4 linked regions of the Alligator mississippiensis genome follow. The protein of the gene in region 3 binds, or shares a complex with, the protein of the main gene of each other region. Links are inferred from orthologs where the notes say so. Each region holds a gene or a part of one and is shown on either strand. Other genes may lie near its edges. The genes, in order: DDX6, ZFP36, CNOT1 and NANOS1.

The links.
Region 1: the proteins of CNOT1 (region 3) and DDX6 are in contact, whole or in part, in a crystal structure (PDB 4CRW), measured with the Homo sapiens proteins. The link is inferred for Alligator mississippiensis from reciprocal best matches to the Homo sapiens genes CNOT1 and DDX6. Residues at the interface, in NP_057368.3 of Homo sapiens: Glu1097, Ala1100, Phe1101, Phe1103, Asn1104, Asn1105, Leu1106, Ser1107, Ser1109, Asn1110, Lys1114, Lys1137, Arg1138, Ile1141, Glu1142, Asn1144, Phe1145, Leu1148, Tyr1149; in NP_001244120.1 of Homo sapiens: Phe329, Ser330, Arg331, Leu332, Gln333, Ile334, Asn335, Gln336, Leu357, Gly358, Tyr359, Ser360, Leu384, Arg386, Asn387, Ala402.
Region 2: the proteins of CNOT1 (region 3) and ZFP36 are in contact, whole or in part, in a crystal structure (PDB 4J8S), measured with the Homo sapiens proteins. The link is inferred for Alligator mississippiensis from reciprocal best matches to the Homo sapiens genes CNOT1 and ZFP36. Residues at the interface, in NP_057368.3 of Homo sapiens: Gln821, Glu835, Asp845, Ala848, Asn849, Phe852, Gln853, Tyr856, Asn894, Glu897, Glu898, Phe901, Gln904, Tyr905, Pro906, Glu909; in NP_003398.3 of Homo sapiens: Arg314, Arg315, Leu316, Pro317, Ile318, Phe319, Arg321, Ile322, Ser323, Val324, Ser325.
Region 4: the proteins of CNOT1 (region 3) and NANOS1 are in contact, whole or in part, in a crystal structure (PDB 4CQO), measured with the Homo sapiens proteins. The link is inferred for Alligator mississippiensis from reciprocal best matches to the Homo sapiens genes CNOT1 and NANOS1. Residues at the interface, in NP_057368.3 of Homo sapiens: Ile2327, Ile2330, Lys2331, Trp2338, Glu2350, Phe2353, Gln2354, Val2356, Ala2357, Met2361; in NP_955631.1 of Homo sapiens: Phe40, Ser41, Ser42, Trp43, Tyr46, Leu47, Leu49, Thr51.

The regions. Positions count from the first base shown.
Region 1 is NC_081839.1:35,214,623-35,222,481, reverse strand, and holds the start of DDX6 (probable ATP-dependent RNA helicase DDX6), read right to left. Parts: upstream 3,009-7,859; 5' UTR 2,901-3,008; intron 851-2,900; 5' UTR 593-850; coding exon 393-592; intron 1-392.
Region 2 is NC_081838.1:1,300,802-1,308,275, reverse strand, and holds the start of ZFP36 (mRNA decay activator protein ZFP36), read right to left. Parts: upstream 3,007-7,474; 5' UTR 2,779-3,006; intron 1,807-2,778; exon of another isoform or gene 1,686-1,806; 5' UTR 1,539-1,685; coding exon 1,503-1,538; intron 1-1,502. UniProt on the Homo sapiens protein: Zinc-finger RNA-binding protein that destabilizes several cytoplasmic AU-rich element (ARE)-containing mRNA transcripts by promoting their poly(A) tail removal or deadenylation, and hence provide a mechanism for attenuating protein synthesis.
Region 3 is NC_081833.1:39,165,354-39,173,336, reverse strand, and holds the start of CNOT1 (CCR4-NOT transcription complex subunit 1), read left to right. Parts: upstream 1-4,968; 5' UTR 4,969-5,071; intron 5,072-7,983.
Region 4 is NC_081829.1:87,817,729-87,824,577, forward strand, and holds NANOS1 (nanos homolog 1), read right to left. Parts: upstream 2,069-6,849; 5' UTR 2,004-2,068; coding exon 1,311-2,003; 3' UTR 509-1,310; downstream 1-508. UniProt on the Homo sapiens protein: May act as a translational repressor which regulates translation of specific mRNAs by forming a complex with PUM2 that associates with the 3'-UTR of mRNA targets. Capable of interfering with the proadhesive and anti-invasive functions of E-cadherin.

The sequences.
Region 1 (7,859 bases), on a different chromosome or scaffold from region 3:
TATCAGAACAAAATGGCTTTAAGTTTCATCACCTTGAAACCGCCAGCAACAGCATGGTACCTTGACCTAGGAGTGCATGGATACCCATCTTCCCCCTGCCTCACTTAGTATTTAAACAAGGTGCTGCTTGAGGCCAAGGCTCTCAAGGAAAAAAAACCAAACATAAAATGATTAAGAGGTTCCAGTAAGTTAAAAAGATAGTTGTCAGAGAAAAGCACTAACCTAGAAAACAAAGTATACTGCCATTTTTTTAAATCAAAGTTCACATTGCCAACATTATAATAAATTAATAGCAGTATAAAAAAAACAGTCTTCAACACAAGAAACCTAACAACTTTCCTCAATATCTGCAGCTTGTTTAAAACACCACATACATTTACGTAAATACTTACTTAATAGTGGTGGTCATACTCTGTGCTTGCTGTTGAGTGCCATTATTGATTGTGTTGGCATTTTTCAGCTGGTTCATCTGTTGCTGGGTTTGTGTGCCCCCACCTCCTGGGCCCCCACTGGGTTTTACAGGGCCTCTCAGCTGCCCATTCTGACTGGATAGACCCATTATAACAGGGTTCTCTGTTCTCGCCGTGCTCATGTTTGTTTTTAAAGATGTCTTTTTAGACTTCAAAACTTTGAAAGTCAGTACAGAAACTGTAATAACAGTTTATAAGACTCTCCAAAACGAAGAGATAAATAAGTCTTGCTCAATATATGAGTCCTTTATTGCAATGCAGGCAAGCACCTGTAAGTCACTCAACAGTAAGTAGTAACTTGCTCTGATGCACTGTGGATCAACTTTTTTAAAAAAAGCCCTCTAACAAAGTTGAGTTATATCTGAATCACTCACTTCAATCTGAAAAAGAAGTAAAAACACACAATTAACACACAGATCTTTTGGTGTAAATAACTCACATTTCCATATTTGACAGGACACTGCACACTTTTGGTATGAGACAGCACTTCCAGAACAAGTACACAGTACTTCAAATGAAAAATAAGTGCCACCAATGAATAGTGCTCCCCTTGTTATTTCTAACTGAACAAAGAACTAACATCTACTGGCACCTAGTGAAATTCTGCTTAACAAAAAAAGAGAAAAACAAAACAAAAAGAACAATAACAATCCTACTGCTTTCATGATACTGCATGTGAACTGCTTTGCAGACAGACATCCTGCAACACAGGCTCAAGTCATGCAACTATTTTACCCATCTTGCAATAAAGCTGCTTTTGAAGAAGAACAAAAGAAAGGGTTAACACCATATAATCATTTGTGACAGGAAAACACCACCACAAAATTTATCTTCTGGGAGGATCTGGGGAGTCACGCCATTGCTTGAATCACTAATTTAATATCTTAATGGGGGGAGAAGAGTGCACTGATCATTTGAAACAGATGTCCCGGGTACCTGTTAAGTCAGGGCTTAGGTTTAAACAAATAAGCTACTAGACATGCTTAAACTGCTTTGCTCACACCAAACCATCCAATGCCAGCTTCCTGGCTCTACTCTACTTCAGAATTAGAAGACATTTTTAATGGTTAACTTAGTACCTGCCTCAAATTAGAAATAAGATGCATTTGTTTTAGATCACTAGTTTCCTGTTACCTTCAAAATGCCAGTAAATGAACAAACACATGGTGTCCTCAGAGGATACATAGAAAACAAATGTAAAACGTAGGAGCATAGCATTGGGAAGGTAACGATAGTAAGCTAGTCAACGCAGTAGCTTAACACACACCCACAATTTGCACCCTGCAGGTAGAAAAAAAATGAATTTATTAAATAAACAGGGATGAAAGGACCCCAATTTGCAGCATGAAGTTAGGGGTTTAAAGGGCTACCACCTTTTCAAAACAAGACCTGCAAGGGTAGCTGTACAGGTTCGGTGTCACTGCACTGCCGCACTTTTTAGTTAGCCAGTGTAAACAGAAGGAACCTGTTGATCAACGCGCGCCCCACGCTGTTTATGACAGGTACGTGCCTTCTTCCTGCGATAAAAACCCACCGACAAGATTCAAATATAACCATGCTTAAAAGGGCAAAATCTCTGTCTGAATCTTCTGCCATCTCTCATTTCACAAACGAATTTTCCAAATTTAAAAAAATATCTATTTTCCCCAATTAGTCTTCCAGAGCACAGACTAAAGCTGATCTGGGCAGTGAACTAAAGCAAGTGACTGTGGTTCTGCCAGACACGCGGACTAAGCCCTGGCGAGAATTTCTTCCTTGCACATTTCAGCTGCAGGTACTTCACGTGTGCAAAGCAAACACAAGCGCAGTCCCGCGGGGACCGGGCGCCCATGCAGGAGGCAGCTGCGGAGCAGCGTGGGCCGGGCCGGGCCGGGCCGGAGCGGTCAGGCAGCCCTGCGCGCCCCGTCACGGGAGAAGCGCGGCGAGACGCGCAGCCCCCCGCCCCCGCGAGACCAGGGCCCGGCGGACCAGGGACGCGAACAAAGGCCGCGCCGCGGCACGAGCCGCCGCACCCTGGCGCCACGCGCTGCCCGGCCGCTTCTCCCCTAGCCCCGGCCCGGCCCGGCCCGGCCCGGCCCGGCGTCCTCCTCCCCACGCGCCGCATCCCGAGGAGACAAAGGAGCGCGGCGGCTCCACTCCCGCTGCCGGGCCTCGGCGCCCCCGGCGGGGCGGGCCGGGCCGGGCCGGGCCGGGCCGCGCCGCCCGTGGAGCTGCCTGCGCAGCGCCGGGCGCCCGCAGACAATGGGCCGCCGCCGGGCGCCGTCCCCGCGGGCAGCCCGGACACGGGCCGGGGCCTCCCGCCCGCCCCTTCCCCACCCGGGCCCGGCCCAGGCCCCGGTCCTTGCGCAGCGCCGCGCCCGAGCGGCCCAGCCTGGCCCGGGCCCCCGCGGGGGAGGCCGCAGCCCGCCGCGCCCGCCCGGCCCCGCTCACCGCCGCCGGCCGCGCCCCGCCCGCCCGGGTAGAAAATCCTCCGGCCGCCGCCGCTCGGTGCCTTGTTATGGCGACTCGACGCTCCAAGATGGCGGCTTCCTCCTTCCTCCCGGCGCCGCCGCCCCGCCCCTCAGCGCCGCCGCCCCGCCCCGCGCGTCACGTCGCGTCACGTCACGCCGCCGGCCCCGCCCCGCTACGCCAGCCTGCGGCGACACGCCCCCGCCGCTACGTCACGCCGCCGCGAGCCCGCCTGCTGCCACGTGCATCGGCCCCGCCTCGCCCGAGCCCCGCAGTGTCCGCTAGGGGCGCTCGCGGCCCGGCAGGGTCGGCCTGGCCCCCCCGGCAGCGGGAGCCGCCGAGTCCCCGGGCGCTAGCGAGGGCCCGGGCCGGGCCGCGCGGGGAGCGCAGGGCAGCGCGCGGGCCTGGCCGCTGCCCCCGGCCGTGGCCGGCGCTGCTTTGCATGCGTCTCGCTCCCGCTTTCAGTTCTTGTTTTGGTGCACAGGCCCCGGGGCTGCCCCCGCCCAGGTGCTCCGCACGCCACGCGCCTGCAGCTCCCGGGGGAACCGGCCGGGCCTTCCCAAGGCCCCGGGGACGTGCAGCTGCCGCTCCCCGGCCCGTTCCCACGGTGCGTCCCGCGGGCGGGCGGGGGCGCAGGCCGGGCCCGCTTCCCGCACGAGGCCCGCGCAGCGGGAACCCCGTCCCGGGCGGTGCGGACGCGCCTGGCCCGGCCGCGCGCTCGGGCGCCGGCTGCGTGGGGAGCGGGGCCGCGCCCGGCGCTTCCCGGAGCCGCCCCGGCCGCGCTGCCCTGCCAGCGGGGGGCTCAACGGCGGCAGGAGACCCGCTCCGCTCCGCGTCGGCCCGTGCGGCTCCCGTGCCTGGGGCTGCCACGGCCCCTGCCTCCGCCGGCCCTTCTTGCCTTGGGACGTGCAGTTGCGCGCCCTCCCTCTCGCACCCTAACGTTTCCCTCCTCCCAAGGTGCGGTGCCGCCGGCCCCCCTGCTTGGGGAGAGGCTGGTCTGTCTGCGGTGCCATGTGCCACCCTACTCGGGCACAAAAAGAAGACGGAAGAAGGTGAAGGCGAAGGCGCAGGGCTGGCCCCGTGTGACCAGGCAGGTCACGTTCTCTCACCGAGTTTCAGTCTCTCCCACTTCAAGAGGAGCGTGGAGAATCCGAATTACACGTGCGTGAGCGCAGCCCCGACAGGACGCGTCCAGTCCCTACTCTTGCAGGTGCAATGGCACAACACCCCTTTCATGAAACAATCGTGCCCACCTTAACAGTATTTTTCAGCCCTGCGGCCCTGACCGGGAAGCTGTTCCAGAACCTCAGTGCTGCAACAGTTAGAAACTGGAATAATCCACAGCCAGTTCATGCCTGTTTGTTTCAGAGCCAACGCTGTCCTGGAGTTTCAGATCGCTTTCCCTCCCCGTGTTTACCCCCTAGCTTATTTACAGGGCAAAATCCTATTCCCTCAGCTTTTGTTGTGCCAGGATCAATAAGACAAACTCAGGCTTCAGCTTTCCCATGGGACAAAGCCTGTTATCCTGGGGTCTTGCACACCACAAGCCCACTGTCCCACTTATAGTACCAGCAAAGTATCCGACAGAGAGAACCCCCCCTACCGACACACACTTGGCAGGGCCTCAGTCCCAGTTTCACGGCCATCCTTGTGACCCTTCTACGCATCTATTGCAGTTTTAATTAATCTTTCAGTGAACGGATGATCAAGTATTGTGCATGGTATTCTAAGGAAGTCTCGCGTGCGTCTTGTATGATGACACTGGTACGTCCCTAGCTCAACTGCAAATATCTTGTCTCATATATTCTCCAGGCAAGAATTTTTGTGGGTGATATCTTTTATTGAACTAACTGTCTAGCTGGGAAGGACACAGGCTTCCAGGTACCAATGTACGCTTTCTCAGGTCTCTGATAGTCTAGGATAGCATCTGACTTTTTCAAACTGTCTCACATTGGTGCCTGTCATTCCATGATTAACTAAACACCCAGATCTTTTTCCTCTGCTGTCCTTTCCCACTGATGAGCCCCTGCTTCTAGCAGACATTCCTGTTATTAGTCTCTAAGTGCATGACCATGCACTCTACTATTAAATGTCATCCCATTTCTATTGCTCCAGTCCATAAGCTCCTCCACTTCTTTCTATCTGACCCATATTGTTCACTTGTATTGAAGCTGCCTCGCAACTTTGGGATGACAGTGAAATCCATTAGCACACTTTCACTATTTTCTGCTGAAGTCACTCATAATGGATTTTAAATAGGACTGATTCCAGGACTTATCCTTACAGAACTCCACTAGTAACCGGCCTTCCGGCCCCAGACCTCCTCTTTCAAAACCTACCCGTTGTCTTCTCTTTAGTCAGTTCCTCATCTACCTTACAGTCCTTCTACAGATCCCTGTTTCCTCTGCTTCAGCTAAGAGTTTCCTAAGTGACACCATATCGGACACTTTACTAAGGTCCAAATAGATTAGATCTCCTGGGTTTCCTTGGTTATGTTACCAAAAAAATAAAGTACTAGGCTCCCCTGCCAAAATCAACCTCTGGCAAACCTATGTTCAATTGTATTCACTTTCCATTTACATCTATGTTTTCTATTCTTTTGCTCAAACATTGTTTGAAAGCTTCATCCTATGGAGGTCAGACCTTGATACCTCCCTTCCCTTATCCCCCACCGCCCCCCACCCTTCCTAAATGCCGGTACTAAATCTGTCGTTCTCCAGTCACACAGTACTATCCCAGACTTGAGACATTAACTTCCTTGCTGACAGAGGTCTTTCGGTAGCATCCTCGCTGACACACCTGGGATGTCAGGGGCTAGTTCTTTCAGAATTCAGAGATGGAGATTATTAGTCCCCATCACTCGAGCACTTTTAGCGCCTTGATTTTCTTTCCCACCCGTAATGTGGCAGTTTCCCTTTCCATGTCTTCATTTCTATTAGACTAACAGCAACATTTCTAACAGCAACATGCTTAAATGAAAACTGAGACAAGTACATGTCATTTTTGGATTATCTTTAACTTGCCTAAACCTCTGTACATAGCAGCTCTACTCTTGCTTTTCTTCAGCTCCATTTTTTTCCTTGCTGAAATTTTTTTTGCTTTGTGGTTTTATTTCTTTCCTTTGCAAGGTCTAACTCAGCTTGACTTTTGGCAATTCTTATTTTTATCCTTACATTTCCTGATAGCTAAGACACAGCTTTCTTGTCAATCAGCCCTTTTTCCATTCTTTATAGCTTCTCTCTTGGTGCCTAATACCTCTTCTGGGAGGCTGGACTGGAGCCAGGTTTTCTCCCCACTGGGATAAGAGGTCCATACTTTTTGCACCTGCCTTGTAAAGAAATTCCACGCTTCTGCATTCAAGTCCTTGAGCTCTTTAGTCCATCTAATTCCACTCATTCGTTCTCTTTGTTCAGTGGTTTTCAACCCCGGGGGTCTGCAAAAGATGAGTATGGTCAAAAGTACGTGAATACCCACCCCTACAATTCAAAGGAGTGTGCACCTCCATTCAAATGTTTTTAGGGGTCCGCAAATGAAAAAAGGTTGAAAACCACTGTCTTATTTCATCTTAGTTCTCAATGTTTTCCCTTTAAAAATGGAGTATCTTAATCTTAAAGACCTACTTTTGTTTATTCTTGCATTTAAAATACAACCAAATACATTTATTATTGCTTGACCCAACATTGTTTTTCAGGACTAGATCTCCTATAATGGCTTTGCTGCTTTTTAACTCATACCTTGTGGGGAAATACCAGTGCTGAGTTAAACATAAAGTTGGGTAGCATCCTTGTCCTTCCCCTCCTCGCCCCAACCTTATATACCATCTTTCTTTCAATAAATAGCTGTCCTTTGCTGAGGCCAGAGAGAGGGAGCTGGCCAGGGTGACAAAGCTCCTGTTCAAGCAGCCGAGATCCCCACCATGCTCTTCCAGAAGGAAGGTTTGGACTGAGCCTGGACTCTGGCAGCAGCAAATCGCTCACCCGACCTGAACTCTCCCCCGCAGGTTGCAGAGCATGTTTTGCTGACCAGCAAGCAGCATGCGCTCGGTCTTGGGACTGGTGACAGCCCCTTTGCCCCTCACTGCTGTGCGCAGAACGCCCTCTCGCTCCGTCGGGCCTGGTGACATTCGGGCGTGATCACAGCGAGCCGTCCTGCCAGGGCCTTGCAGGAAAGGATGCCTCGCTCCTCAGTTCCCTCCAATGTGCACTCCCGCCACTTCTGTTTCCTGTGGAGCTGGGTGCCACGTCTGGATTTTTGGCTGCCAAAGAGGCTGGGATTTTTTGTGGAGTCAGGCTGCAGGTCATGCTTCTCTCCTGGCTGGCCATCTCCTCCCAGCACCGTTCTGACAGCTGGGCTGTGTGGAGAAGCCAGGCACCGCCTGCGTCTGCAGAAGACTGGTTGCAGCAAGGGGTCTGGGTCTGTCTGGGTCTAAACAATTCGTAGCTGAGCAGCCCGCCACCTAAGCATGACAAGTGTAGAGAGGGTGGTGTGGTAGGCTCTGTCTCATCCTGTCCTCTGAGCCCACAGGACAGCCACAAACGCTTACTTGGTGCCTCTGGGACGGGGCCTCTGCTCTGCCTCTGGGGAGGCTGCCCCGCAGCTCTCATTTCTGGGAGATTTCCAGCCCCAGGTTCCCAGTGCTCAGCCCTCCATTTCCAATTAACACCACAGGCTTTGAGATGGCTGTTTGACTGCAGACTTCCAAGTGCTTTATCAAGGTTATCAAAACCATGATCGCTGGTTTGCTCAGGGGGGAAAGAGAGGCATAGGGAGGACAGAGGAACCTGCAGAAGGCCGTGCACAGAGCTGAGAATAAAGCCTAAATCATTGGAGCTGCAATGCACGGTATACCTGGCTTCTCCAACCGGGGCTCTTCTTCCTCCATGCTTGCATCCTCACAGAGCCTCTACAGCCCAGCCTCCAGTGCACAGTTAGCTAAGACGT
Region 2 (7,474 bases), on a different chromosome or scaffold from region 3:
GGGGTCAGCGAGGAGTCGGCTTGGCCCCAGCCCCCCAGCAGGGCCTGGTGCCCCCCTCACCTATGCAGCTTCTAGCACTGCCCCCACTACCCCAAACCCTGCAGGGACTGCGGCATCGGCCCCCCCCACCAACCCCAGGGCCGGGGGCAAGGACCCAGGCGTCCGGGCGGGTTATTTCCAAGCCGCCGAGCGGAGGCTGGAGCTGGGCCCGGCTTCCGGCCGGGCCCCGGGGAGGAGGGAAGAGCCATGACGAGGCCTCGGCCGAGTCTTGGCCCCTCTTAGGCTGGGGGCGGGGGGGAAAATCAGCTGCGATAGCCCAGAGCAGGAAGCGTGTGTGGGGGGGTGGGGGGGCAGCAACAGCACCACAAACACGCACAGCCACAGCACAACACACAGACACCTGACTGACACGGACACACACACACAGGCACAGGTGCGTGCCTGACACACCAGAAACACACACATCAGAGATGGGGACAGAAGGGGGACACAAGAGACACACCCCAGAGACACGCACACACAAATGTAACACAAAAGACACACTAGACACAGATGTGACACGGAAGGCACACAAGACACACCTGACACGCCAGAGACGCACAACATAGAGATGGACGCAAACACAAGAAAGACACACGCCAGAGACAGGGGTGCATACATGACATGGAAACACCCACGACGCAGAGACCAGCACAAACACGACACCAAAGACACGCGCACGCGCACACGCAGCTTCTGTATCTCTGATTTACTTCGTTTTAAAGGTTCGTCTCTACCTGCTTTCTGCCGCCACAGACATCCAGGACACACGCGCGCGCACACACACACGCGCCCCAGCATCCAGGGGCAATGCACAGACACACAGAACCCAAGTGTTCAGATCTCTCTCTCATGCACACACATCCCAAGCATCCAGGACACACACACAAGTACACACACACACACACAGAACCCAGGCATCTGGGACACACACAAGTACACAAACACATACATGCCACCCCCACCAGCCTACACCAACTTTCCTTTCCAGCTCGGGACAGGAAGAGCCCCCTTCCCCGACCCCAATCACCCCCTGCCTGGGGCAGGAAGATCCCCTTGCCCGACCCAGGCTGGGGCAGAGTCCAGGCAGCCTGTGGGGGGGGGGGGGGAGTAAAGGCCTTGGGGGGGAAAGGAGGGGTCCGGACCTGGGGCTCAGCCCTGCCCGCACCACTCTCAGCCCCTCCAGACAGAGAAATATCCTCCCCCAAAAACCATAGAGGGGCAATTACAACAACCTGCCCCCCCCACAAACAAGCCTACCCCTCTGCCCCGTCCCTAGATCTGCTCTACCCCCCGCCAGCCCCGTCGCCTCCATGCAGCAGAGCTGGGGGGGTGGGAATAGCAAAGAAATGCCCAATCTGGGGGTAACAGCAAAGATTTACCCCTTTTGGGGATCCCCCGGAGGGGCAAAGACAAGGATCGGCCCCACCCAGCCCGGCCGGGCCCCGGCCCCAGCCCCTCACCTCGCACAGGGCCTTGACATCCAGGAGGGAGCTCATGGCGTGGCCGTGGGGGCTGGGGGCTGCGCTGTCAGTGGGACCCCCAGAGAGGAGCAGGCAGAAGCTGGGGTCAGCACTTGGGGCTGGGGCTATATAGGCTGAAGCCCCGCCCCCTCAGCGATGACCTCATCGCTGTTGTAAGAGGCCCTGAAAAAAAAGCAAGCCACCAGAGAATAGGGTAAAACCTGGGGAAGGGAAGGGAAGGGAAGGGAAGGGAAGGGCTGGGCGTGGGGGGGAGGGAGAAAGGGGGGGCCTGGATCAGGATTGGGCCCAGGGTCTGGGCTGAGGGGGAAGGGGGTGGAGAGAAAGGGGGGCCAGGATCAGGGCCACAGGAGCCCCGGGGGATGGGGCAGCACGGGGGGAAGGGGGGGTCTGGATCAGGATTGGGCCCAGGGTCTGGGGAGCCCTGGGGAGGGGGCAACGGGGGGGTAAGAGAGAAAGGGGGGCCTGGATCAGGATTGGGGTGGGGCAGCAACAGCCCCAGACAAGGGCTGGACTGGGGTGGGGGCAAGTTCCCACACCCCTCTAGGGTCGCACACACTTGTGCAAGGTCCTTGATGAGGGGCTGTGTCCCCTGCCCACCCCATGGTCCCTTGGCTGGGCACAACACACACACACACACACACACACACACACACACACACACCCCTGGCAATACGTGCAGCCCTGCCCCTCCCCCTCAGGTACCGGCCGGGCGGGGGTGCGATGAGTTTGCACCAGGCCTCAGCCTGCATCTCCCTGCCTCGTGCCCCCCCACCCCGTGCGAGGCCGCCGGAGCCCGTACGTGTGGCTAGGGGGGTGACTCAGTGCCCGTTCCCGGAACTACCGGGGCCCCGGGGCTCCCCTGGCTTGCACAAACCACCAGGCCAGGGCCCTGCCTGCTCTCGTGCAAGGCCCCTCCAAACCCCGTGCAAGACCCCCAACCAGGCCCCGTGCAAGCTGCCTCCTGCCCCACGTGCGAGGCTCCTGCCCCCACTCCCAGGAGCTCCCAGCCTCAGCGGTGCCCCGTGCCGCGCTCGGGGCTGGACGAAGCAGGCCGGAGGCTCCCCACGACTCCTGGGCTCCGCGCGGGGAGGCGGGACAGGGGGGTCTGTAGTCCCCGGGGTCTCCCCCCCCTGCGCGGGGGGAGCTCACAACTGTGCCATCATCAAGCCAGGGGTGGGGGGGCCCGCTTGTCCCTCGCACGGCCGTGCAAGGCGCTGCTTCCTCGTGCGTTGCACGAGGGGGTCACTCGGGGTACCTGGGGTTTGGTGCGGGGGGGCGCAGGGGGAACAGCTGCCTGCCCCCCGCCCCGCACTGCTGCTTGTGCCCGCACACAGCCCCCGTGCGAGCGCGAGCGTGTCTCGCACGAGGGCACAGGGCACCCGAGCTCCCTGGGACAGCCTCTCCCGGTGCTCCCAGTTTCTCTTCGCCTCTGAGTCAGGTCCCGGTTCCTGGAAGTGAATCACGGGCGCGGGCACGAGCACGAGCCCGAGCCCGGCCCCGCCCGCCCGCCCCGGGAAGCCCCTGGCCCGGGCCCAGCCCCCGCATCTGCCGCCAGCTGTGCACCCGCATCCAGCTGTGACCGGGGGGAGGGGGCACCGGCCTGCCCCCCTTTGCCCGGGTGAATCACGACGTTTCACAAGAGCCGGGATCGGGATCGGGATCTAGGACGGGGGCGTGGGGAGACGGGGGGGCTGAGTCAGCGCCAGTGGCTATAAATAGCCGGGTGCCCCCCCCAAACCAGTGAGGTCGGGGGGGCGGGGGGGCAAGTCGGGCAGGGAAAGGCTTGGGACTGCCGGACACCTGGGCTCCCCCCGCGACCCTGACCCCGACCCCGACCCCGAGCCGCCGCCTGTGCTGGGAATGCGGTGACGCAATCAGGGAAGGCCCCGCCCCCCCGCCGGTCCCGGGTTACACAATGAGCCCCGCCCCCGTGACTCATCCCCCCCCAGTCCCCTCCCCCCCCGCCGACGGGGCATTTCCCAGCAGGGAGTCCGGCTCCCCTGCTCTAACCACTCGCCCGCGCTGCCCGGCCCGGCCCGGGGACGGGGACGAGGCCGGGCCCGGGCAGGAAGGGGTTAAGCCGCGCCGGGGCCAGGTGAGCTGGCAAACAATGAGCTCATGGGGCGGAGCCAGGAGCTGGGCGGCGCGGGGCTTAGGTGCACTACGGTACCGAGAGCCCGGCTGCCCTGGCTCCCGGGGGAAACTGAGGCAGGGCCTGTTGCACAAGTGTTGGGAGCTGCGCGCGCTTCTAGGTGTGCGGCTCTGCCCCTTGCACTAGTGGCTGGACGGGCGTGCACAGCCGCAGCCCCGCTGCTCTGCCCCTCGCACGAGGATCTGGAGCCACGTGGGCAGACAGCTCTGCTTCTGGCACGAGCACCAGGAGCCACACGCTGCCCTGTGCAGGGGTGTCTGGCGCTGTACACGCTCGTGGGCGTGCAGCTCTGCCCCTTGCGCTAGTCACCGGAAAGGCTCGTGCACATGCACGACCCCGCAGCTCTGCCTCTTGCATGAGTGTCCAGAGCCGCACGCATGGCTCTGCCCTTTGCACTAGTGCTGGGAAAGGCACTGTGACCTCCGGACCCCGAACCCAGCGCAGGGCCACGTTGTACAACGGGGCCACGAGTGTTTGGAGACGGAGGCAAAGGGCAGAGGCCGCTGGTCTCCTCTCCCCTCGGCCGGATCCGTGGGACAATGCTCGTGAGCACACGCTGCCCAGGGCCCAGCACTCGCACGACTGGGCTCCTGCCATGCAGCCCAAGGGGGTGTGCATCTCACACAATAGCTGCACCAGTGAGTTGGGGCCTGGGGCACAGAGCAGGGCCCTTCACACGAGGGGCACTAGTGAGTGGAGGAGAGTGCCAGGAGCTGCACGCACACAGCCCCTCACACGAGTGCCAGGAGCTGCACGTGCACAACCAAGCCCTCTGCACAAGTGCCAGGAGCTGCACACGCAGAGCACAGCCTCTTGCACGCATGGCAGGAGCTGCACATGCACAATCCAGTCCCCTGCACATGTGCCAGGACCTGCACCCACACAAACCCAGTGCCTTACATGAGTGGCAGGAACTGCACAACCACAGCCCAGCCCTTTGCTCAGGTGCCAGGAGCTGCACACACGCTGTCAGGCCTCTCAAGTCCTGGCACAGCAGTGAATTCTGGGAAGCCCCCGGGAGAGGTGGGGGGCCCTTCCTCTTCCAGGAACCAGGCGCGGCTCCGGCTTCCTGCTCCAGGCAGCTCCGGAGCCGGAGCTGGGAATTCCCCTGCTCCCAGCCTGGGCAGCGGGAATGTCCCCAGCGCTGGTGCATCGAGAGGCAGCCGGCCCGCGCCCCCGCTCCCCGCCACAGCCCCTGGCCTCGGGGGCCAGCACCGGGAGGCCTCGTACGAGGCTTTGCACAGATCCAGGGCAGAGGTTGGGGCCCTTTGTGCGAGGACCTGCACTCACTCCAAGGGCAGGGATTGAGGGCCCTCGTGCGAGGGCTTGCACTGATTCCAAGGGCAGGGATTGAAGCCCCTTGTGAGAGGAGTTGCACAGACCCAGAGGTAGACAGGGCCTTTCGTGCGAGGCTTTTCACAGATCCACAGGCAAAGAGCAGGGCCCCTCACACAAGCCTCCGCCTGCCTCCATTGTGCACGTGTGTGTGAGTGTTGTGAGCGTATCTTCCGTGTGTCTCTAGTGAGCACACATGCATGCCTGTGCTAGGGAGGCGCATCACATGTGTGTGCGTGCATGTGCACGCACAAATGTGGACATCAATGTGTCCCAGGTTTGCCTTGTGCATGCATGTGGAGAGGGGGCAGTTGCATGTGATACATGTGACAGGCGTGTGTACAGAAGAGCATGTGCACAGAGGTGAGCGCCTGTGTGAGCACGTGTGCATGGGCATGGGGCAAAATGATGGGGCGTGCACATGCCTGGGGGCCTGCACACAGGCGAGGGAGTGCATGCACACGCTGTAGCACAGGCCGTGTGCACATGCATGTTGATTCATACACATTTGAATCATGCAACCAGTATGCACACGTGTCATGCAGGACACGTGCATAGCACATTGGGGGAGAAGTGTGGGTGCCCAAGTGTCATGCAGGACAAGTGTGTTTAGCACATGGCAGGGAGCACCACTGTGTGCACGTGTGTCACTCAGGACACACACTTAGCACAACAGGAGGCCCCCCGCTGTGTGCACACACATCGTGCAGCACACACATGCTTAGCATGTGGCGGGCACCTGCTGCGTGCGCACACGCAGGACACACTTGCTCAGCACATGGGGGGCAGGGAGCACCTGCTTCAGGCCTACGCACACAGCCTGGGGGCTTGCACACGCTTGTGACTGAGGTGGGCACGGGGCCCTGCCAGTGGCGCTGCCTGAGGGGGCACCAGTGAGTTCCCGGTGCCCACCCTGCCCCTAGCCCTTCGGCGCCTTGCCCGCTTGGTTCTGCTTTTCCAGGCTGTTGAAAGCCCCGTTCCATGGGCGTGAAAACCCCTGTGACGCCAGCCGGGCGTGCGAGCGCTCTCGCACGGGAAGTGGCATGTGAAGCCCGCTAGGGGACGGGGGGGCACAGGGAGAGTTAATGGGGTCACAGGGAGCAGGGGTGTGCTGGCCCTGCCCCCTGCTGCGCCAGCCATGACGTGCGCACACGCGTGTGGTTCACGTGGTGGCGCTTGCTTGTAAACACTGGGGGAGGAAGGGGCCAGCCCGGAGGGGACTGAGGGGCCCGAGCGCCCGGGTTCCCCGTTGTAGTGGGGTGGGGATGGGGGGTCCAGGCGCCCGGGTCTCCGCCTTGACGGTGCTAACGGGAGGGGGTTGGGGGTCCCTGCCCTGGTGGGTGGGGATGGGGGGTCCGGGCACCCGGGTCTCCGCCTTGACGGTGCTAACGGGAGGGGGTTGGGGGTCCCTGCCCTGGTGGGTGGGGATGGGGGGTCCGGGCACCCGGGTCTCCGCCTTGACGGTGCTAACGGGAGGGGGTTGGGGGTCCCTGCCCCGGTGGGTGGGGATGGGGGGTCTGGGCACCCGGGTCTCCGCCTTGACGGTGCTAACGGGAGGGGGTTGGGGGTCCCTGCCCTGGTGGGTGGGGATGGGGGGTCCGGGCACCCGGGTCTCCGCCTTGACGGTGCTAACGGGAGGGGGTTGGGGGTCCCTGCCCCGGTGGGTGGGGATGGGGGGTCCGGGCACCCGGGTCTCCGCCTTGACGGTGCTAACGGGAGGGGGTTGGGGGTCCCTGCCCTGGTGGGTGGGGATGGGAGGGCTCCCGGGGGCCCGGGTTCCCCTCCAGCCCGCTCGCTGGGCAAGTCCCGGGCCCGGTGACGTGGGCACAGGCGCAGCGCCAGCCCCGGCAATGCTGACACAGGCCTTTGCGCTCTCGCACCCGGTGCCAGGACAACACGAGCCGTTGCCCTGGCAATGCCGGCGTGTTTGTGCCAGGAAACCTGGACCGGGGCCAGGGGCAGGTGGGGAAACCGAGGCAGCGGCGGGGAAGTGGCGGGGTGAGTCAGGCCCGACCGCTGGTGCCCAGAGGGGACTCGAGGACACTCTGCTCCCAGAGCAGGAACAGGGCCCCCAGGCGCGCGGGCTCCCGGGCCCCGACCCGTTCCAAGGGGCCTGCACCCCACGCTCGCACACGTGTGCAAACGCCCACAATCCCCGACCCCCATCACAGTTACAGCCCTTCGCATGGGGGGGCTGGGATCTCCTGCGAGGGGGCTGCCTGTTCCACCTGGGGGGGATCAGCCCCTTCCTTGCCCCTTGTTGCCCCCGGGGTGGGGGGGGCACGGGGGGGAAATGGCCTCCAGCAGCCCCAGAAAGCCCCGGCTTGCAGCAGGGAACAGGCTGTCCCCTGCCGTGCCCCCCGCCCGCCGCCCAGAATAGAGGCAGGAAATGAGGTCAGCGGCCCACGGGGAGCCGCCGTGGCCTGGCTCCTGTTTGCAAACAGCCGTCACTGCCTCCCCCCCA
Region 3 (7,983 bases):
GCCTGACCTTCCTCTGCCCCAAAGCTAATTCTTGACAATGTGAGTTGCTCTCTGACATAGAGGGCGACCCCCCCCACCTTTCCTCCCAGTCCTGTCCCTTCTATATAGTGTGTATCCCTGGAGTAAGGTTGGAGTGTTGTAGCTGTGATGGTCCAGGAAATGTACAAGAGACAAGGGTGATCTGTTTTTGGTGATCTCTTTTATTGGACCAGATGTATGGAAGCTTATCAAACATCTCTCCCAGGTATACAGTTGGTCCAATAGAAGAGATTAAAAAAACCCTTTCCTTAGAATCAGTAAGGCCAAATTTTTCAGAAGTTCTGTGCCACTGGCTAGAGGGTCAAAGAAGATTTGAAGGCAAAGTGGATTCTCCAAGCTCACTGGTTGCCCCCAAGTGTTCCAAACAAATATTGCAAGTGTGGCTGCAGCCAAGGAACACTAGGCAAGAAGCCTGCCTAGTAGGTAAAGCAAGGAATAGAGAGAGGTGAGATGTGGATCTCTGAGCAAGACTGGTTTGGGAAATGAGGAATCCAGTGAAACAACTGCATCTACTTGGTTTCAAACAGTTCCTTTAAAACAGCAGTAGGCAACATTTTTTCAACAGTGGGTCAGAATGACCCAGCTCAGGTCCAAGGCAGCTGTGCACTAAGACCCAGTAGCCACTGCTGCTGCTTTCCCTGCTGTTTGGGCCTAGTACATCACAAGTGAAGCTTCCAGCAGCCCAACTACTGTGCCACAGTGCAGGTAAAGCCCTGTGGGCCATAGGTTGCCAACTCCTGATTTCAATCATTATACTAAAGGCAGAAGAAGGTTTATTGGATGCTCAACTATTCTCCAACTGGTCTTACAACAACCAGGTTGTCCCTTCTGCTTTTTAGGAAAGCTTTGCAGATCAAGCAGTGCAAAATGGAGCATCAGTTATGTCAGGCGATTTATATTATCGGGCTACGTTGGCGCCCTCCACTTCCAAGTCAACCTCCTCTCCATAGGGTGACTATCACTTCAAAAGGGGAGGGTGGGACACATGCCTACCTTCCTCCTCCCTCTGCTAGCACTACTAGACCAGAGCCAAGTGGAGCAGGGGGAGGATGCAGACTGCCTGCTGAGGGCTCCAGGCTCCCTGCCCTGCTACCTTTCCCTCAGGAGCCCCACACTGGACAAGTGCCTCCTGCCTGCCCGGCAGCAGCAGGGGACATAACTCCATGCTGCTGCTGCCACCCCCACTGCTGCTGGGCAGGCAAGGGGCGCATCCCCATGACTAGCGCAGTGTACCTGGGGGCAGGGCATCAGGTTGGGGAGCCCCGAACCCACAGTGAGCAGCCTGCATCCACCCCCACCCCATGCACGAGTCTGGGGGGTATGTGCCCCCCACCCATGTCTTTCAGCTCAACAATTTCATGTAGCAATTAAAAATGTAAAAGCCAATAGGAAATTCCCCCTTTCCCATCCTCAAATAGCTCTTACAGATTCATAGACATTAGGGCTGGAAGGCACCTTGAAGATCATGAAGTCCAGCCCTCTGCCCCAGGAGCAGGAAGTCAGCTAGGATCAAAGGATCCCAGCATGATAAGCATCCAAACGTTTCTTGAATGAGTCCAGAGTAGGTGCCTGCACCACTTCTGGAGGGAGTCTATTCCAGGCCTTGGGGGCTCGGACAGTAAAGAAGTTTTTCCTTGTCCAGCCTAAAACAGTCATGGAGGAGTTTATTGGTCCTTGCTATCTTTTGGGGTGCTCTGGTGAACAGACGTTCCCCCAGATCCTGATGCACATCCCTTACGTATTTATAGGCAACCACAAGATCACCCCTGAGCCTGCACTTTTCTAGGATGAAGAGTCTCATGGCTCTCAGCCTCTTATCATAAGGCCTATTCTCTTGCCCTCTGATCATGCGCGTGGCTCTCTTCTGGACTCTCTCAAGCTTCTTGGCATCCTTCTTGAATGCTGGAGCCCAGAATTGGATGCAGTACTCCAGCTGCAGCCTTGCCAAGGCCAAGTAGATTCATAGATTCATAGATTGTAGAGTCGGAAGGGACCACAATGGATCATCGTGTCCGACTCCCTGCCCCTGGCAGGAAAGAGGACTGAGGTCAGATGACCCCAGCCAGGTGACTATCTAGCCTCTTCTTGAAGACCTCCAAGCTAGGTGATAGCACCACCTCTCTTGGAAGCCCATTCCAGATCCTGGCCACCCTTTCTATGAAAAATGTCTTCCTAATATCTAACCTAAATCCACTCTCAACTAGTTTACACCCATTATTCCTAGTCACTCCCTGGGGCGCCTTAGTAAACAGCGCTTCCCCTATTCCCCGTTGACCTCCCCTAATAAATTTATAGGCGGCCACAAGATCTCCCCTCAGCCATCTCTTGTGAAGGCTGAAGAGATTCAGCTCTCTCAACCTCCCCCCGTACTGTCTATCACGAAGGTCACTAACCATGCGAGTGGCCCTCCTCTGGACCCTCTCCAGATTCCCCATGTCCCTCTTGAAGTGCGGCACCCAAAACTGGACACAGTACTCCAACTGCGGCCTGACCAGTGCCACATAGAGGGGAGCATCACCTCCTTTGTTCTATTAGTCATGCACGTGCTAATGCACGACAAGGTGCGACTGGCCTTGTTGATGGCCTCGTTACACTGTACAGCGGGAGGATGACATCCTGAGATTTACTTGAGAAGCATCTATGGATGCAAGCCAGAGTTTTATTTGCTTTACCAGCTGCAACATCACATTGGTGGCTCATGCTCATCTGTGGTCAGTCATGACTCCCAAGTCTCTTTCAGCTGTGGTGCTAGCAAGCGTAGCACTGCTGAGCCTATAAGTGTACTGCGGGTTTTTTTTCCTTGCCCCGAGGTGAAGTGCCTTGCATTTTTCGGTATTGAACATCCTCAGGTTTATATCCTCCCACTTACTAAGCTTATCCAAGTCAGCCTGGATCACTAGCTGGTCCTCAGGTGTGGACACTATGCCCCAAAGTTTAGTGTCATCAGTGAACTTGGCCAGTGTGCTTCTGACACCAATGTCCACATCGTTGATAACAATGTTAGAGAACCAGTCCAAGGACAGAGCCTTGGGGGACACCACTGGTCATGGAGCACCATAATGATTCACTTCCATCAACTACTATTCTCTGGGTCCCAGACATCTGACTGTGGTGTAGCCGAGACCGCAATAGTCCAATTTTTCTATGAGATCATGGGACACCAGATCAAACGCTTTTTTAAAGTCCAGATATATGACATCAATCTCTTCTCCCTTGTCCAGGTGATATGTCACTTGGTCATAGAAAGAGATGAGATTGGTCAGGTAAGACCTACCCATGACAAACCCATGCTGGCTGTCCCTCAGGCTGTTGCCATCAGCCAGCTTATCAAGGGTCTCTTGTTAAACCTTAGATGTTTGAACAATTTTTTCTATGCCATGAGCACACTGAGCAAGGAAATCATGAAGGAACATTCCCTCCCAACACAATAGTTTGTCAAGTGTTAGCCTGGTGCCACCGTACCACCTGCTTTACTTCACTCCCTCATTGAATTTAATAGTACTGTCACCCTCAAGGCCTACATCAGAGCCCTGATTCATGCTGCCATGTTCCTACCTGTCCCTATGTTATTTTGTTACAGGGCTGATTCCAAATACATACTGCATTTAGATTGAGCACCTCACCTTTTGCCCTCCAGGCATTTAAAAATGGAAAGAAAAGGGAGCTGTATGGGAAACCACAGAATCCCAGAGAAGCAGGGCTGGAAGGGAGCTCCAGAGGTCACCTAGTCCAACCTCCTGCCTGAGGCAGGATCATCTCTCTCCTGTTAAGGGGGCTGAGTTAGGTTTACACCACCTGCTTTGTTGGCTGCAGGATATCTTAAATGCCCTGCTGCTTTTCAGGTGTACTTTCAGAGTGGCATTTTCCAGCCCAAAGCAATGGGTAGGATGTCTGGCTCACTCAGCTCCACACCTGGCAGATCCGACACTGATGCCTGGGTAGGCCTGTTGCCACCTTTCAGAAACCGGGTGATGAACGGGGCTGGCATAATCCTGAAAGTCATTTGGTTCAAGCCCCTGCCCGAGCCAGCCCCGCGTTAGTCGCTCTGCTCACGTCCAGGGACGGAACAGAGAGCAAGGCAGCAGCACACGGAGGACCTGGGCTGGCGAGCTGGGCCGCTTTGCTGCCACGTGGGACGTCGAGGGGGCGTCTCCAAACCTCCAACCTGGGCCGCTGGCAGCGCAGCCCGCACAAGGCAGCCGGGCGAGCCGAGGTCACGTGATGGAAAAAGGCGGGGGAGATTGTACCACGGGGTGTGGGGAGACGCGCATGCGCCATGCCACTGTGAGACATCTGAGTGGGACTAATGGGGCAGTGAGAGGACGACGGGTTGTACCACTGCACAACGCTGGAGGGCGGACTGTACCACTGTAATCCAGGAAGAGGCAGGCCATGTGCACAGGCGTCGGACTGTACCACTGGGCAGCAGGGAAGGGTCTGAGTGGAGCGTGAGTCGGTGCTGCCCCTGGCGGGGGGGAGGGAGCTGACAGCCCCTTCCAGCCCCTGCTGTCACCGACGCCCAGCTCAGCCAAACTCCGCTATCATTAGCCGGTACTGCGCACTCAGTTTCCTACTCCGCCGGCCAACCAGCCTCGTTTACGCAGGCGCTAAGGGTTAAAGTCCTTCCTTGCTGAGAGCTGTTTCGTGATTGGCTAGAGGGACGGAAGGCGTGGTGAACCTTCCCAGCCAATCCGAGCCCGCCGCTAACTCCGGGGTGGGGAGGGGGAGGAAATGTGTGTTGGACTTCCTTCCCCCCCCCCCACTTAAGCAGCGCCCTTCTCTGATTGGACGGATTCCGGGCGCGAGGGCGCTAGCTCTGTGCGGCGATTGGGCGGGCTCGGCGTACACAGGCGGAGGGGCCCCGCCCGCTGCGTGCCGCGAGGGGACGGGGGAGGGGAAAGGCCGCGACGTGAGCGCGCGACCCCGCCGCCATTTTGTATTGAGCCAGCGGAGGCGAGCGGCGGACACAGGCAGCGCGAGAGGCTGAGCAGAGCCCGCTCCAGCCCCGGCCCCGCCCGCCCCCGCGCCTCAGGTGAGCGGCCGGCCGCGGAGGCAGGGGCCGCGGGGCGGCACAGGTCGGGGGCTGCAGGCCTAGTGTAGTAACACCTAGGCGGGACCCGGCGGGAGCCGATCGCGGGCGGGCGGGGCCGGGCCGGGCCGGGCCGGGCGCGTCCCGTGGAGGGAGCGTGGCGTAGGGGCCGGCGCAGAGCTTCCCGCAGGGGGAGCCCCAGGCTCAGGCCCTGAGGCCCGGCAGTTTCCGGGGTCAGCAGCGTGCGAGACTGCGCAGGCTGGTCTCTTCGCTGCTGTCTGGGCGGGCTCTGGCGGGGAGGGGAGTGAGTCCAGGGCCGTCCCGCCGCCTGCAGGCGCCAGGGAGAGTCCCGGAGCGGCTCGGGCTCCTTTCCCCCGCTGTCCTGCCGCGCGCGCGGCCTGCGTGCGGGCCGGGGGCCCGAGAGTGCCGAGCGGGTTGAATCCGGGCCCCGATGAGTGACCCCTGGCGGAGAGCCTCGAGGCAGCGCGACGTGTGCCCGCTTCTCCACGGATCCACTCGTGGCATCGAAGTATGCCGGACTGGCGCTAGTTGGCCATTTGGTTCAAAGGTCCCGGTTTTCTGCTTGTGTTTTCTTGTTTAAAAAAACAAACCTGAAAAGCAATTTTGAATAGGGGTTTTCTGTACACTTTAAGTATATGCATCATTTTCTTGTGGTAAGCTTTAGCTTTGTGGAGCGTGGAGGGGGAAGCGTTCAGTATACAAAACAGCAGGTCACTGGGGAAAAAATACATTGGGCAAAACTTGCTCTAAGTAGTCAAACAAATCTAGTTCATTCTTAATTGACACCTGAACCCTTAGCATTTCATTTTCCTTTTTCCTCTTTAAGCCCTTTCCTGAAGACTAAACTTTTGTGGATCACAAGTTACTTTTCCCTTTAAAAGATCTTAGCATTCTGGACATGTTAACTTTGACTCCTGTGCAAGCAAATTGTGGGCTATTACATGGTAACTTATAGTCCAGAGTTTAGAAGACAGGGTTGAAGCCATATCTCAGCCTGTTGAAAAAACAAATAAATACCTAAACAGTGGATTTGGTTGTTAAACGAGACTAATCTGAAGATGTGGCCCTAGTTATCCAGAAAACCAGAAATGGCAGCACCATGCACCTGGACTTCTAAATTTGTCACCCAGTTGAAAATGTGGAAAGAAGTTGCGTAATTCCAAGACTTGCTTATTTCGGAACTTCGTAGGATCTTCTTAAATGTAGTTTTATTTTATATGTGTATTTATAATTCCAGGCTCTTCTTTCTCTAGGCCTTGGCATAAAGCAGGGACTATTAACCAACAGCTTGTCTAAGGTTTGGTTGTGTTAATAACTACAGTAGGAATGAGCAGATCTTAAACTTATTTAACAGGTACAAAAGCTGATGCTTGTGTGACATAAAACATGCACTTTAAAATGTAGAAGTGTCAAGTTTTGTCTCTTTAGACACTATCTAGTCTGAGCTCTGCTCTTAAGGAGTATGGTAGGAAGCACGACAACTCAACAACAGCTGTCAGTATCTTTTGATTCCTGTTTCCAAGGTAACTACAGTATCTTGGATTGATGAAACTTGAAGCAAAATTAGTCCAGATGAAGTAATTAGCTTGTGAACAGGAAGTCAACTTCGTTACATAGAAATATGCTTTTCATCCTCCCTCCTGGACATTTATTGGGTGCTGTCCTCAACTTCTGTGTGCATACGCTTCTACAACTGACCCCCTTTCATTGCCAGAGCACTTGTTTTGATCTCCCTGTATCTTTCTTGGGAGGGAGACTTGCTTCATTCTTTCAGAGAGTAATTGATTTAAAATTTCTCATCTGGGAATGAAATGCTAACATGGCTATTCTTATGTTTCAGGCATAAGAATAGGTAGTGTTAAATAAAGCAGAGTAAGATTACCTTGCTGCTATTGAGGGGAAAAATGTAGTAAAACCTTGTGATGTAATGACTAGTTATCAGTAAACCCATAATGCTGGGAAAACCAGAATGGAGAAATGTAGTTTTACCTCAGTGCTCGGGTTTGTTTCTATATGCAGTTAACATTGAAGGTTATATTGTTGTTATGGAGGTTTTCCTTTAAGCCATGTTATAACATTTATTGCCAACACTTGGAAAAAACACTAGAGCTAAAAAAATAGAAGTTCTCTTTCCTGGCCTCTTAAAGATGGGTTTATGATTCCCTTACTGACTATGGTAATCGGAAGAAACTTTAAAACTTTTGTTTGACTGAAATGAAAACAGGTAGTGGATTTATCCTGGAATTCTTTATTGTGTCACATTTTCAAAAACTTGAAACTACCAAAAAGTTTCTTTGCCATGATGTATTCCAAGAAAAGCAGCTAGAGAATGAGGCTGACTAGCTGTGATTGACTTCTAACAAAAAATGCAAGGTAGTTGTGTTTAGAGAGAGCTTGTGGCTGAAATGTAACCCCCCCACCCTGCACTTACATGTTGACTGCTGAAACTGTACTTGTTAAATAGCTTGGGGGGCGGGGGGGGATGGGACATAACAGATTTTTAGCACTTATTTTAAGTGAGTGCTCTCATGCAAGTTGAGTTAGCTCAATTGTTTATCTGTATAGTTGTAATGTAAAATAAATCTGTCATTCTAGAAAATCCAGATAATTTGGTTCCGGTTAACTGAGATTGTTGTGACTTGCTAACCTGTAAACAATATTTGGTTCAAATCCAAGATGCCAGTAAAATTAATCAATAACTTAGGTCAAGTGATGACAGTTCAGGTATGCAGTTTTGCTTACCCATAAATTTTAAAAGCAATAATAGTTTTACAGTGTAACTTTCATGCAGGTATGTGTCAGAGCTTTGTTTAAAGTATTCTAATGTGAATGTTAGCTAAAATGTGTGAAGTAGTCTCCTACACATGAAAGGAAGTCAAGTTTCACCAGGAGCA
Region 4 (6,849 bases), on a different chromosome or scaffold from region 3:
TGAGGTTCTCTGTGGAGTAAAAGAAGTCACCAGATAGATGCAGCCTGTTTCACTTCCCAAGCAGCCTCTACTGAGATGGGGCAGCAGAGGGCGCATTTCCCCTTCTTCTTTCCATTAAATGAGGTCTTACAAGTCTCTCTTTCCTCCAGGAGGATTCAAAACAGCAGCTTTCTGTTTACTTACGGAGAAAAAAAAAGGATGAGCAGCAAGCAGCTGAGCTCGTGGGAGCCACAACAATCTGTCAGGGGGAAGGACAGCCAGGGGCTTGGCACCTTATTCACCGAGAGGAATTCACCACTTTGTGGCTTTCACAGAAATTCTCCAGTTGAACAACATGTATTAAAAAACATAATAAAAAAAAATAATAAAGACCACTCCTCATGAAGCACAGGGCAACTGCAGGTATGGCCATTACAGCTCCCAGACCCATCTCTGGGAGGGAGCAGTTCGCCTACAGATGCAAGGTCCAGGTGCGGGTGTGGGGAAAACAAGACAGAGGCAGCAGAGGTGAAGTCTGTGATGCCTTTACTTTCATTGTATAAAAACAAAAACAAAAACCCCCAAATCCAAACAGCTCTATTGCCAGCTGTGGCCAGTACAGGCGATATGACCAACCGGGGAAAACAGGGGATGGATGAAAGGGGGGAGCATTGATTTTAGACCCCTTCCCTCCAATAACACAGTACAATGAAACCCAGATTTCATTTAAAAAACAAACACAAACAACAACTGGCGAGCGACCACGGTAGCTCCTCACCCTCCCACCCACCCCCCCCATCATGACACTGCCGGCCTCATCCCCCACCCCCCACCGCACAGCAGCCCTCACTGCATCCGCTGGACCGACCTACCTACCTACTTACAACCACCGGGCCGGGTAGTGCCACCCCCCTCCAGCCCATGGCAGAGCACTCTCCCTCGGCTCCGGGAAGCCGTAAGACCAGGGAGGGAGGGAAGGAGGGTGGGCGCCACCGCGAAACGTTTGAGATTAAAAAAACAAAAAAGCCACACAAAAAAACAACCCCCCCCCACCCCAAAAAAACCCTCTTCTCAAATCCAGTCCTCGGCACATTTCTTTAAACTCATCTCTTCTCTGTTTAAAATTAGATATATAGATTTCCCCCCCATCCCACCCCACCCCACCCACCCTCTATAGCATCAGCTCATCCTGCGCCTCCCTCGGGCCAGACCCCGCGTCCATCCGGAGTCCTTGCACCGCATCAGCCTGGGGCGCCGCTCCGAGTCCGGCTGCGGGGCTCCGCGTTAAAACCCCGGTGCCGGCGGGCAGTGCCGGGGCCGGGCCGGCCCGCCTAGCGCAGCTTCTTGCCCAAGACGGTCCTGGCGTGTTTGAGCGGCGCCTTGCCCTGCGCCTTGGAGAGCGGGCAGTACTTGATGGTGTGCGCATTGTCCCCGCTGGCCCCGCACAGCGGGCACGTGTAGCGGCGCAGCACCGGGCACAGCACGCGGCCGTCGGGGCCCTTGAGGATGTGCGTGGTGTACAGCGCCACCGCCTCCTTGTTGTTCCGGCAGAAGACGCACACCTGCAGCTCGGGCTTCAGCAGCCGCGCGGGCGGCGCCGCCCAGCCCCAGCCCCAGCCCGGCGGCGAGCGCGCCCGGGCCCGGGCCCGCCGGCCGGCCGCGCAGTCGAGGAGCACGGCGGCGGGGCCGGCGCGGCCGGGGCAGGGGCGGCAGGCGGCGAAGCGCTCCTCCAGCAGCCCGCGGTGGCCGCACAGCTCCAGCGCGTGCAGGTCCAGCGCGCCCTCGAAGTAGGGCGCCTCCTCCTCGTCCTCCTCCTCGTCGTCCTCCTCGTCCTCGTCCTCCGCGGCCGGCCCTCCTGGTGCGGGCGCGGCGCGGAAGCCCTTGTCGTCGCCCACCGCCTTGGTGATGAGCGTGGCCAGCCCCAGGTAGTCGTTCCAGGAGTTGAAGGCGTTGCCGGGGCCCCGGGCGCCGCAGCGGCCGCCCGGCACGAACTCCACGGCCGGGGGGCGCTGCTCCGGCTCCATCGGCAGCCTGCAGCGCCCCGCACGTCTGTGCGCGCTGCGCCCGCGCGCCGCTCTAGTAGGCGCGTTCGGGGGCGAGGGCGCGGCTCGGCCCAAGGGCCGCGCTGTAATTGGCCAGCGGCCAAGGCGGCCCCCCTAGCCGCGCTCCCTCATTGGCTGCGGCGCGCGGCGGCGTTCCATCGTAGGCAGGGTCCGGAGCGCAGGTGGAGCCTGGCTCTCGCCGCGGTGTGTTTAGTCCCTGTCTCTGGGGCTGGCCGCAGAGGATGCGGGTCTAGCGGGCAGCTGAGGGGCCAGGGTCGCTCTGTAGGCAGCTGTTGCTTCTAAATAGGTCGTGTCTCTCTTTGTTTTTAGATTCGGTGCAAACACTTTTATAGCCCGTGGAGTCCGGGGTGGATGGGGGGGCTCTAAAAAGTGGGATGTGGAAAGTGCTGCAGTGTCTCCCTTACTCATCTTTGGGTTTTTTTTCCCCTTTATCTTGTATTTTTCTAATTGCTACCTGTTTACATTCTCACTGACATCCCTCCACACTTTTAGCTTCTCTTAGTCCTTGGAGTCTCTGAGCAGCAAGGGACTCCCTATGCTGGAAGAAGGGTGATTGCACCCAAAAGCCGGGTAAGAATTTTTTCCCAACTACTCAGCTGGCGGAATAAAAGAGATCACATCTATTGGAAGAACCTTGCCTGTGCGTCATCCCACAACTCTCAACATAGAGTTTTCCCCAATTAAAACAGAAGTAAAGAGTTGCTTTGCTAATAGGACAGGGGCCAAGGGCAATATCATTGCTTTTAAAATGGAAGCAGAAATGAGGCTTTTTTCTTTGGAACGTGCTTTTATTTTCCACTATGCAGAGAAAGGAAAAACACAACAAAACAGGATCAAAACATACTGTTTCATTGGCCCTGTCCTCATGAGAGTTAAATGTCTCCATCAGCATCTTGGCAGTGGGTCCAGTGAACGCTTCACTGGAAGTTATTTCCACACCTGAGCTAATTTTCACCTGAGTGAATGGGTTTAGCTAGAGTTAAGGAGGGTCTACAATGCTCTTAAATAGTAGCTGGGTACCAGGAGCAGCTAATAGGCAGCAGAATTGGTGAGAAATGACAGCTTGATTAGCAGAACATGAAAACAGTGAAAAAGGAGAGAGGTTGTTCACACCTGTGGAATTCACTCTTTAAAGAATTGAGTAGATTAGAACGAGCCATGAAGTCAATTGAGTCTCTCACTGCTGCCAGACTAGAAATGCTGCTGCCTGGCAGCTGGTTTTAAATTCTAGGTATACCAGGAATCAAAGGAGGGTGCAACTGGACCACTGCACCCCCTGGATCCACCTGTGGTTATGCACCCGAAAAACATCCTCACCTGGACTCTCGCACATAACCGTGCTATTCCAAGCGGTATTAGGGGCAGTGACTGGACAACAGATGCCTCCCCAGAGTCGGGTACTTTCTGGATGAGTAGAGCTTTCTGATTTTAGAAAACTGCTGTGTTTGATTCTACCCCAAACCAATTTTACCCCAAAAGGCCACAAATATGAGAGAGTTTGTGTAGGGTAACTAGGAACTTCACTAGTTGGTGGGGCTCAGATAAGCTGCTCTGGAAGGTGCACAACAGAACCTGAGCATAGCTTGAGTCTGACTTGACTGTTCCTACGACCCACAAATGTTGTCACATGTACATGCAATATAAACTAAAAGGAAGAGTGAGGGATAGCAATATATATATATAACTGAGAAACTCCACAACTCAGGTTGCCCAGCATAGTTGAGAAGAACTGGGAGCCCAGCCGGCCATGAAAAAAAGTCCTATGAAATAGCTTTAAAAATAAAGCTTTTAATTACAGTTGGCCTTTTCCTGGCCGCCTGCTGTTTATAGCTGTCTTGCAGGAGAGAAGCATCACTTGCAACACTGCTACTTGGTTTCTAACCCTACTTGAGGCTAACTGAGGATTTAAAAAAAAAGATCTATTGTGCTGAAAAATATTGTTAGGTGTAAATCTGAAATGATGATTTTTTTTAAAGGAGCATGAAGACACATATTTATCTCTCTCTCTCTCTTTCTGTATATATATACTCACACCTGTTCTGAAGATTAAGTGCCTAAATACCTTTGAGGATCTGGGCCTAGGTGCCTCATCCTGTGGCCTGAGGTAGAAAATCTATTGGGAGAGATTTTTGCAGCTGCAGAAATCATTGGCAACTTCCCTTGTATCAAAAATGGGTCGCTAACTGGCTGGAGGGCCACACCCAGAGAGCAGTGGTGGATGGGTCATTTTTGACCTGGAGGGATGTGGGCAGTGGGGTCCCCCAGGGCTCGGTCCTTGGACCTGCGCTGTTCAACATCTTCATCAGTGACTTGGACGAGGGGGTAAAAAGCACCCTATTCAAATTTGCTGACGACACTAAGATGTGGGGGGATGTGGGCACGCTAGAAGGGAGGAATAGGCTGCAATTGGACCTAGACAGGTTACAGGGGTGGGTGGATGAGAACAAGATGGGTTTCAACACTGACAAGTGCAAGGTGCTGCACCTGGGGAGGAAGAACCAGCAGCACGCCTACAGGCTGGGGAACTCCCTTCTTGTCATTGCAGAGGCAGAAAAGGATCTTGGAGTCATTATTGATGCCAAAATGAACATAGGCCTACAGCGTGGGGATGCGGTCAGCAAGGTCAACCGCACCTTGTCGTGCATCCACAGATGCATCTCAAGCAGGTCCAAGCAGGTGATCCTCCCCCTCTATGCGGCACTGGTCAGGCCACAGCTGGAGTACTGCGTCCAGTTCTGGGCACCGCACTTCAGGAGGGATGGGGACAGCATTGAGAGGGACCTGCATGGTCAGGGGTCAGCAGGGCAGGCCCTATGAGGAGAGGCTATGGGACCCGAACCTGTTCAGCTTCCACAAGAGAAGGCTGAGGGGGGATCTAGTGGCCTGTTACAAACTAGTCAGAGGGGACCAGCAGGCACTGGGGGAGTCCCTGTTCCCCCGAGCACTACTAGGAGTGACTAGAAATAACAGTCACAAGCTGGCAGAGGGTAGATTCAGACTAGACATCAGGAAGTACTACTTCACAGTCAGGGCGGCTAGGACCTGGAACCAACTTCCAAGGTAAGTGGTGCTGGCTCCTACCCTGGGGGTCTTTAAGAGGAGGTTAGATGAACACCTTGCTGGGGTCGTTTGACCCCAGTACTTTTTCTTGCCATGGCAGGGGGTTGGACTTGATGACTGCTCAGGTCCCTTCTGACCCTACCTACTATGAAACTAAGATGCCTTAATGGGAAGAGTGCAGCTCTGGAAGGTGTCATCTAATCACTTGGGTGCTTGCATTTCCTCCTTAACATCTGTCTGCAGGAAGTTGGTGCAGGTATGCAACTTCATTGGTGCCAGAAAAAGTCTCTGACTGATGGGAAGTAACAGTCTGACAGAGATCTCTCTATGTCAGTGCATGCTTTGCCCACTGCAAATGTGAAGTCCTTGGGGGCAGAGACCGTTTTTGGTGCGTCACTGGGCTTCTGAGCATTATCACGGTACAAATAAATACTATTGATCAATAATAAAATACCACTTTACGACACTTTATAATATTATATAATAATACCAAACTTTATAAGGCTTTTGATCAGATCCTGAGAAAGGGCTGTGTTCTGTTGTGGTATGGATGAATTTGGCTTATAGAAATCAGACTCTCAAATGGGTTGTCAAACAAATAATGTTAATTTTGAATAAGAGGGTTTAGAAATACAACTGCAGTTAAAACATATCACTAATTTCAAGCCCAAGGTCAGAATGGTAGGGCTAAACTGAGCAGGTTCAGCTACCTTTAATGAAATAAATCTTGCCAGTTGTCACCAGGACCTTGCTTGTATCTGACAGACAGTTCCCTGGCAATTAAACAAGGATTCTAATGTGGCTTGTTTGCAACTTAAATTTTGAAATTTAATAAACTGCAATATCAAAATAACTCTTGAGGGCCCGATTTTCATTACACTCTGGCAATTTGGTGGCAGCCTGAAGTGGGCTTTTAAGTGGGTGTATTGTTTGCAAAGGGCCTATTCATATGATTGTAGTTGCTGGAGCTATTAACAGCTTTAATAGTTACTCTTTTGGGGTGTTACAGCAGCGGAGCTGTTATCACCACAGGGGAAGGTTCTGCACGCTGAACTCAATGGACATTTTGACCTGCTTTCAATAGTGCAGGATCATGCCTTGTGTCTAGTTCTGTTTCAAGCTGCTACATTTTATGCTAGAGCAAGAGAAGCCTTAAGGGTATATTCAATGAGCCATACAGGTGCTGCCTGCCTCTCTGAGCACAAATTAATGGCCTGATTTTCAGAGGTGCCAAACACCTGCAGCTTCTACTGATGTCAGTGGAAATGGCAAAGCCATCAGCTAAATCAGGTCTTCAGGAGGGCAGCACCTTTGTTAAGTCCTAGCTTTCCCTGCTCATTCTCTTTTTACTTAGCTGTTGATAGCAGCCAGTCTCAAAAAGCAAATGGTCTTATGCCATTTGTGCTGTAATGCTTGGGTGCAAGTATCAAAGTCAGAAAGGGAAAAGGCTGGTTAGGTCATTCTGTGCCTTCCTACCACGTGTGGGGAGCATTACGAAGAGCAGAGGAATGTGAAAAGTATTTCTGCTATGGAACTGCTATAAAAGATGGAGACCTATTGTTATCACTGCAGTAGCACTGACCTCGTGTCCTCTGGCACTCTGACAGCTAATGTGTGTTGACAGTACATGTACATGAAATATGTTGAGAGAAATATTCCCTATAATTGCTTTAAATTAAGCTTTCATGTTCCATATGTCAAATGAATGTGTTCCTTGCTAGTGCTAGGCTCTCAGATGTACGGTATC